Nothobranchius furzeri: one gene and its partner. The protein of the gene in region 1 purifies or fractionates together with the protein of each later gene. This does not show direct contact. Links are inferred from orthologs where the notes say so. Each region holds a gene or a part of one and is shown on either strand. Other genes may lie near its edges.

The links.
Region 2: the proteins of acaa2 (region 1) and pgd fractionate together in Homo sapiens (co-fractionation; 3 studies listed by BioGRID). This does not show direct contact. The link is inferred for Nothobranchius furzeri from reciprocal best matches to the Homo sapiens genes ACAA2 and PGD.

What each region holds. Positions count from the first base shown.
Region 1 is NC_091757.1:55,590,415-55,595,062, reverse strand, and holds the start of acaa2 (3-ketoacyl-CoA thiolase, mitochondrial), read right to left. Parts: upstream 2,985-4,648; 5' UTR 2,848-2,984; coding exon 2,832-2,847; intron 1-2,831. Other genes in the region: mrpl40 (large ribosomal subunit protein mL40), read left to right, coding at 3,310-3,371, 3,524-3,607, 4,025-4,180, 4,302-4,383, 4,493-4,648. UniProt on the Homo sapiens protein: In the production of energy from fats, this is one of the enzymes that catalyzes the last step of the mitochondrial beta-oxidation pathway, an aerobic process breaking down fatty acids into acetyl-CoA.
Region 2 is NC_091755.1:29,354,938-29,359,533, reverse strand, and holds the start of pgd (6-phosphogluconate dehydrogenase, decarboxylating), read right to left. Parts: upstream 2,978-4,596; 5' UTR 2,845-2,977; coding exon 2,837-2,844; intron 2,460-2,836; coding exon 2,384-2,459; intron 2,299-2,383; coding exon 2,119-2,298; intron 2,048-2,118; coding exon 1,982-2,047; intron 1,894-1,981; coding exon 1,775-1,893; intron 1,688-1,774; coding exon 1,618-1,687; intron 1,547-1,617; coding exon 1,412-1,546; intron 1,346-1,411; coding exon 1,156-1,345; intron 219-1,155; coding exon 88-218; intron 1-87. UniProt on the Homo sapiens protein: Catalyzes the oxidative decarboxylation of 6-phosphogluconate to ribulose 5-phosphate and CO(2), with concomitant reduction of NADP to NADPH.

The sequences.
Region 1 (4,648 bases):
CTTTATTTATTATCGATAGACTTTTTGAGATTTTTTGTTTTGTGTGTCTGATGTGAGGTTTCCATGACAGTTTACTGTCTATTGTGATTCCCAAAAATATGCTTTCTTGTACCATTTCAATTTGAAAACCATCTATATTTATTGGCAACTCAAACTTTGTTTCTTGATTACCAAATTTTTATTGCTTTAGTCTGGTTTAAATTTAATGACAACTTATTGCTGTCCATCCATCTTTTAACAACAATCAATTCTTCATTTATTTTTTAATAAGATTTGGATAATTGTCACTGCTATAAAATATGTTTGTATCATCTGCAAATAAAATAAATTTTTGTGATGTAGATGTTTCAAAAATATCATTAATGTGCAAATTGAACAGACTAGGTCCCAGTACTGATCCCTGGGGTACACCACAAGCAATGTCAAGATTTTTTGACGCTTTCTGTCCAATATTAATATACTGTACCCTTCCACTTAAATAACTTCTTACCCAGTTCAATGCCACTCCTATTTTTATGTATAATCTCCATTCAACGTTACATTAAATAGCTTTCTCATTCTGATTTGTCAGGAACGTATCTGAACAGAGCTCTTATATACACTGCTGAAAAAAGGGAACACAAAAATAAGACATTCTAGATCTGAATGAAACATTCTTAATATTAAATACTTGTTAAATACTTATTAATACAGCCCATGGAGGTCTGGATTTGGAGTCACACTAAAAATTAAAGTAGAAAAACAAACTGATCCAATTTTGATTTACTGTGTTTAAAACAAGTCAAAATGAGGCTCAGTAGTCTGGGTGGCCTCCGCATGCCTGTACGAGCTTCCTACAATGCCTGGGCAGGCTCCTGATGAAGTGGCGGATGGCTTCCTGAGGGATCTCCTCCCAGACGTGGACTAAACCATCCACCAGCATTGACGGATGGAGGGAGACGTGATGTCCCAGATGTGCTCAATTTGATTCAGGTCTGGAGGCCAGTCCATAGCATCAATGCCTTGGTTTTGCAAGAACTGCATACACACTCCAGTCACGAGATCTAGCATCGTCCTGCATTAGGAGGAACCCAGGGCCAACTGCACCAGCATATGGTCTCACAAGGGGTCTGAGGACCTCATGTCAGTATCTAATGGCAATCAGGCTACTTCTAGTGAGCACATGGAGGGCTGTGTGGTCCCCCAAAGAAATGCCACTCCACACCATTACTGACCCACTGCCAAAGCGGTCGTGATGGACGACGTTGCAGGCAGCAGAACGTTCTCCATGGCATCTCCAGACTCTGTCACATGTGCTCAGTGTGAATCTGCTTTCATCTGTTAAGAGCACATGGCGCCAGTTGCGAATTTGCAAATGTTGGTGTTCTCAGGAAAATGCTAAACGTCCTGCATGGCGTTGGGCTGTAAGCACAACCCCCACCAGCCCCCAGCTCACACTGATGTGCCATCCTGGATGAGCTGCACTACCTGAGCCACTTGTGTGGGTGGGTTGTAGAATCTATCTCATGCTATCACTAGGGTGAGAGCACTGCCAGCATTCAAAAGTGACCAAAACATCAGCCAGAAGACATGAACTGAGCAGTGGTCAGTGGTCACCACCTGTAACAGTTCTCCTCTATTAGGGATGTCTTGCTATTTGCCTATAATTTCCACCTGTTGTCTATTTCATTTGCACAATAACATGTGAAATTGTCAATCGGTGTTGCTTCCTGAGAGGAGTTTGATTTGTGTGACTGACTTGGAGTTACATTGTGTTGTTGCCTTATGTGTCCTTTAGCTCTGAATCAGAGCAATCTGTGATACGTGTCAGGAAGTGCAGCACGTTTTGACCTGAACTGAAAGGAGGTGGGTTGATTTAGTGGTGATAAAAACCAAAGTGACATCAGATTTGTTTGTTGAGTGTGTTTGTTTACTGTTGTGTAATGTATCTGATTTTTCCTTCATTCTATGAGAAAATATCACTTAAACACAAAGCTATCAATGGAAACAAAGGAATCAAATAATAGTTAAGCGGGAGGATAATCAAAATATATCACATTTATCTTTTTGTATTCTAAAATATAAATCACATTCGCTATCAGATTCTATATTTTACTCATTTAGAAACTCAAATTCTGTATATTAAATTTGATGTTATTGTATGTTTGAAACTAGTAAACCGAGATATAAACAAAACTTTGTGAATAGTTGTCATGCAATAGTATTATTATGGCACGCTGAAAAACACTGATACAATACAGAATGTTTTATTTGTTGTCACTCACACACACACACACACACACACACACACCACTAAAATGATGAAAAATCATTAGGATAGTAGATAACTGTCAGAAGCATTACAATAGTTTCTATGGTTTAAAAATGATTTTGAGAGATTTTTTTCCCCCATTTTACACAAATTATCTGTATGGATTATATCTGCAGTTCACTGGGATTATTTTGGTCAGGTTATTAATAATACTACTAATAATAAAAATAAATTAAAAATGTAGCTCCAACTTTTTCTGCTGCCCACAGTTAAAAAAAAGCTAGTATTAAGAATTTATGACATTAAAGTAATCCAAAAACATACAATTTTACATCTAGAAGAGCTGTTAATAATCGTCCTAACACTATCCTGTCACCTTTAGCCTATATGGTGACGAAGTGTCAACTCACCTGATCTGGCATGTACAGTTTTACAGTACATTTGTAATTTCAGCATTAGCTGCAGGTCATTCATTGATGGTATACAACATAGCAAGAAAACGAGCGAAAATGTCCTACTTTTTGCTTTATTTACACTCAGTTTGCTGCTTTCTAAATGCTGAACTGAAGCGTTCGTTTACCTCTGAGAAGAGCCATGGTGTTGGTTCAACAATCCGCTTCAGCCAAAATCAAAGTTTTAAACAGATATCTTGCTGTTGCACTCTGCAAGCTGCTCACGAGCGTAGAAAGAGCCACTGCGACCTTTCACCCAAATAAAGCATTGGCTAATTTGTCGCTCACACAGACAGATTCAACAAAAAATATCTACATCAAGATTTAATATGAGCTTATTATAACGTAAAAGTTTCATTAAATACTTTTAATATCTTATAGATCATAAAAAAACGTCATGTGAATTTTTTTAAATTATATTTGTGTTTTCAAAAACTCTGAATCTGCGTTCGAGAAACTTGAAATCTTACGGTGGGTCACGTCATATTCGTGCGACATTTCAGCTGTGTTCGGTCCACATTGACATCGGGCAAATGACCTGTGAACGTTTTTGTTTAGTTTTTCACTCGGATTTTGGTTTTTAATTAAACCTACGTCCTATTAAACATGCATTTTGAATTTTCTCGATGTCTCTGCAGGGTTTTGTCCCGACACGCTGCTCCTTCACGGTAATAACGGTGAAAAGTGACGTGTCCTCCAATGAATGTTTTAGTATAGACTAGAGAAATTGTGATAAACTTGATCTGTGACTAAAATTACTCATTAACGCTGATGGGCGGCTGACTCTTATTCTTCTGAGTTTGTTTGTATTATTTTGCAGCGTCCTGTTGGGACAGCATAAACAAGCTATACAAAGTCCCTGGTTTTCACCTGTGGTCACCCTGAAAACATCTGCTCCACTGAGGTAGGATGAGACGAGCTGATTTTATAACACACCAACTTCTATGTCACTAATACACGACTTAAAACTGCTTATCTAGCCCTTGCTGTACATTTTCAATACACTATCTTTACCTTTTTTAATTTTCTCACAGATTGAAAACTAAAATGTTCCTTTAATTCCATAAATCAAATGATAGTTTCACAAACTCTGTCTGCCTTTGTTGTTTGTGGCCCACGTGTTCAAATATGGAAAAAATCCCATCTAACCCTAAACTTGTGGAAATTTTAGTAAAGCAGCAGAATACAGAACATTATAAAATGTGTATGCAAACAGTTACTATTACATTTGTGCTGAGTGTATTACTTATCAATGATTGAAAATAAAAAAAACCTGTGAATGAAATGCACTAACATAAAATCACGGTTTGTGTTGCACCAGAGCGGAGCAAAGAAAGAAGAAGAAAGTTGACCCACGGAGGGAACAGATGGCGAGGGAGCGGCTGAAGAAAAGGCTGAAAAAGATGGAGAAAGTACCGCCTGAGCTCATTCCCATAGAGGACTTTATGACATCAACCAAGTGTTTGGACGAAACACGGTAAAAATAATTCACTGTTCTTCAGCAATGGCAACTCCTAGGCAGTAAAACCAAATTAGATGATTGAATATTTGTTCAACGTTGGAGTTTTGATTTTACCTCTCTGTATTTATTCTTACAGAGTGCGCCCTGCTCCAAGGCTTTCATTCGAAGAGAGTGAAAGTCGAGCTCTCCTGTTGAAAGAATGGAGTCGATACAAACAGGTTAACATGTATTTCATCTCCTTATGTGTAAGATTTGATATAAAATGTTCATTTGACTTATTCTCTGCAAGATGCTTAGTTATAATGAAGTATGTCTTTTGTTTGGCAGAAGCAACACAAGGCTGAAGTAGAGGCTGTTGAACTTGCTTTGGAGGCGCAAAGGGAGGCGCTGAAGGAGCTCAAGTTGGAGTCCGAGGAGCTGTACCTGGCAGCACTGGAGCCAGATCTGCTCCTTTTCCCCTACACTCGTGAAGGTCCTGTCTAC
Region 2 (4,596 bases), on another chromosome or scaffold:
GTAGACATCTCATGTGAATAGTTGCTTTATGATTTCATCCTAAAATGGCATAAATTTAACAAAACATTAAAACAGAGTGGGTTTAACCTTTCTGATGTCCTCCAGAAACGTAGCCTTGTTGCCGCTGAATTTGACCCCCTGCGGTCCTGAGAGGCTGCGGCTGGCCTGAACCCTCTCATCCTTCAAAGACGACAAGCATCTGGCGAAGACGGCCTCCCCTGAGAGAGAGAGAGATGGGAGAAAACAGATAAACACGGGTGGACATGTTTGCATTTGTCCCACAAAAACCAACAAACAGCATAGCAAAGAAAGACGACATGCAGGATAACGCCAAAACATTGAATCAGCATGACTCAGCATTTTTTCTAACCGTTTTTAAGGCAAGGCAACTTTATTTGTTTAGCACTGTTCATACACGGAGTAAATCTATGTGTTTTCCTATCCTGATTTAGAGGAACAAGTCTCTGCACATCTTTTTAGTGAGTTAGTTCCTGGGTTTGGGAGTTCTGGTTCTGGGTAAAACATGTCTGGTTCAGACAAGTAACGGAGATGCATCTAGACCCAAAACCAACAGTTTTAGATCCATCCTTTCACAAACAGGAAGTTGATGTGGTTATTGCAGGACTGGTGAGATGGGACCCATTTTAAACACTCCTACATTCATCTAAGCTACTCACGAGTAGGGAGCAGGTATGGACTTTTTTTTCTGTTTCCCATTTAAACATGAAATCCTCATTCTGAGCAACAAAAGAAGCTCATCACTTACTTCATTAAAAAAGCCATACATCCTCGCCCCTCTGAATGAACAGAAGGATACCAGATCAGTCAGCATGACTTGCAAAAACTGTCCGGTCAGATGATGAAAGACAAACTGTCCCAGTTTTACTCTGAAATCCACCCATGCATGCTGCTCCATGTTGGCTGGACCAGTACACACAATGAAACATTTTGTACAAGCGGCGCCTTTAACAGCTTTGTGTTGGTTAAGAACAAATCTGGTCATTACTGGCCTTTCATTAGCTGATGTTGTAATCTTTTTAAGGTGTGGTATAAGGCATTCTTCTTATCATAAGGAACTAAACTTTCTGAGAGCAGCACTACCAGAAAAGGAAAGAAACTAGATACTTCCGTGTGTAAAAGCTTTATTTCTCCTACCAATCAAAGTGACGGGCGTGCCGTACTCCAGGGCGGAAATGGCCGTCCACTTCCCCGTGCCTTTCTGTCCAGCGCTGTCCCGGATTTTGGGCAGCAGATGTGCGCCATCGGTGTCTCTGTATTTAAGGATGTTGGCTGTGATCTCAATCAGGAAGGAGTCCAGCTCCGTCTTGTTCCAGCTATCAAAAGCCTGAGAGGATCAAAGTCAGTCAGCCATATTTGATGTTGTATAAAAATAATGTTTTGACAATCTCACCTGTGCCATCTCATCGTGGTCCATCCCCAGAACATCCTTCATTAGGTGGTAGGCCTCACAGATCAGCTGCATGTCTCCATACTCGATGCCATTATGGACCATTTTTACAAAATGACCTGCACCTTCATCTCCAACCTGCCACATAATATCATAAGATCTAACCAGGAACAACTTGTTAAGAAAACAGGCAAAAATGCTGCACTCACCCAGTCACAACACGCCTCTCCTGTTCCAACCTTGGCAGCGATGCTCTGGAAGATGTCTTTAATGTGCGGCCTTGGCATCGGTGACATCAAATGTTCATTTTTATCAGTTTTACACAAATAAACAAATAAATCTCTACTGATCGTTTTCATTACTCACCAGGCCTCTTTATGTCCTCCTGGCATGAGTGAGGGTCCGTAGCGTGCTCCCTCCTCTCCACCACTCACTCCGCTCCCAACAAACAGCAAGCCCTTCTCTTTCAGACTCTTACACCGACGCTGCGAGCAACAACCACATAAAAAAGGTACAAATATACACACAGGTAAACAAGTCTTTTCTGTCAAAAAATGAACCTCAGAGACTTACTGTTGTGTCTCTGTATTCAGAGTTGCCGCCGTCGATGATGATGTCCCCAGCTTCTAGAAGAGGAACCTGAGAAAGTGTAAATAAGTCAGTAAATCAGAAGTTCACTAAATGTAGTTTTACAGCAGTTTGGCACAAACCAGTTTGTCAATGAAGTCGTCCACAGCCTGCCCAGCCTTGACCAGCAGGATGATCCTCCTGGGCTTCTTCAGCTTAGACACCATGTCCTCCAGAGACTCAGCTCCGATCACCTTGGAGCCCTTTGCCTCATTCTGCAGGAAGTCGTGCACCTTGGACACGGTTCGGTTGTACGCACAGACCTGTTGGACAGGCTAAGCTCAGCAAGACAAAAGAAGAGGAGTGGTACCCGATGGAAGTGTAAACAAACTGGAGTGGAGGTCTTACCACAAAGCCATGATCGTTCATGTTCATGATGAGGTTCTGGCCCATGACAGCCAGACCAATCAGTGCGATGTCTGCTCTGTGAACACAAATCACATGTACTCAGAGGGCCCGATGGGCGCGTGCCAACAGGTTCCCTAACGGAACAGACTAGTAAATCTTCTTTAAAAGGATTATGATTTCTTTTTGTTGTTGTAATCTTAATCATAGACCTTTAAGTCAACCTGAAACTTCACTTCATTTCACAGAGTCCATAGCGATTACTCGGTAGGTCACACCAAGTTCAGATTCCACGTTAAACGTATTTCCACTCAAAACAAAAGATAAACACCTACACAAGACGAACAACAGCAGGTAGGCTAACTGATATATCAGCTACCTTCAAAAACAGACGAAACGACTACGAGCGAGTACTACTAGTTAACATGTTCACCATCTGAATCAGTTCAAACTTACTTAGCCATCGTGGTATCCGAGTAAAGTGACGGCGAGGTAAGAAGTGTCTAAATGACAGTCGAGCTCAGACTCCAGTTTTCTGCTTCACTTTTCCTCGCTCGTTTTTTTACTTCCTCGTTCCCGATTCTACGCGAGTAAAAAGCTTACGCACGCCCACGTACAGGATCCACCAATCAGAGAGCGTCTAAATGACAACCCACCTTCTCTTCGTATTCTTATTGGTCCAGAGCACTGAGCAGAGGAATCTCCTTTCCTATTGGTTGTTTTTGCAGGCGCAGCAGCTCTAACAGATATGCAGGTAACAACAATGGATTTATAAATCCACAAAGTGACATTGTATTAATAAATCCCACGATTACATATACAATAGTTATCTTATAGGTTTTGTTCAAGAAGTTTCTCACTGATCTCACACCGTTGTAGGTGTGTGGAATATTCTAATTAGTTTTTTCTCCTTCCCATGTAACTTTCTTTACTTTTAAAATCTTTTTCAACTTTCTTTTATATGTCGAGACTCTGAATGAATGCAAACTTCTTTTTAAACACATGTTAAAACTAAGCACAGATTGGTTAATGACTGAAGTTTATTTTTGTCATTTTAACACTGCAAGAAAATAAGTTGGAGGAAGATCAGTAGTTTAATAAATCCTGGGTTTAGTGTATATTGCACATTAGTTGTCGACCTAATAAGAAGGAAATGCTCGGAAGCACTGAGGTGCTTTTGGGGATTTATATACAAAAGCTTAATCTTCGAGATTTATTTTACATCATTGTTTATATGATACCCCTGGTAGGGTCTACCATGACAAATGGGTCTTAGGTGAAGGGTGAGACAAAGAACGGTTCAGAAGATCTTTCATGGACGTAAAAACAAAGAGTCGAGTACCCGGCCTGGAGGGTTACCGGGGTCCCACCCAGGAGCCAGGCCTGGGGTTGGGGCCCGTGGGCGAGCGCCTGGTGGCCGGGCTTTTGCCCATGGGGCCCGGCTGAGTCCAGCTCGAACCGGATATATGGGCTCATCCAACTGTGGACCCACCACCCGCAGGAGGAACATGAAGGGTCCGGTGCAATGTGGATCGGGTGGCAGACTGAGGCAGGAGCCTTGGCGGTCCGATCCCCGGACAAGGAAACTGGTTATTGGGACATGGAACGTCACCTCGCTGGCGGGGAAGGAGCAGGAGCTTGTGGCAGAGGTTGAGCGGTACCGGCTAGATATAGTCGGACTCACCTCGACACATATGTGGCTTGGGTTCCAGGTGGCTTACTATAGCATTGGCTCTGAAATCCAAGTTCTTGAGAGGGGTTGGACACTCTCCTTTGTTGGAGTTGCTCCGGGTGAGAGGCAGAGGGCTGGGGTTGGCTTTTTGTTAGCCCCAAGACTCTCTGCCTGTGTGTTGGGGTTTACCCCGGGGGACGAGAGGGTTGCTTCCCTGCGCCTTCGGGTCGGAGAACGGGTCCTGACTGTTGTTTGTGCTTATGGGCCAAATATCAGTTCAGAGTACTCACCCTTTTTGGAGTCCCTGGGACGAGTGCTAGATAGTGCTCCATCAGGGGACTCCATTGTCCTGCTGGGGGACTTCAATGCTCACGTGGGCAATGACAGCATGACCTGGAGGGGTGTGATTGGGAGGAACGGCCCGCCTGATCTGAACTGGAGTGGTGTTTCGTTATTGGACTTCTGTGCAAGCCGCAGTTTGGCCATAATGAACACCATGTTCGAACATAAGGATGCCCATCGGTACACTTGGTACCAGGGCAGC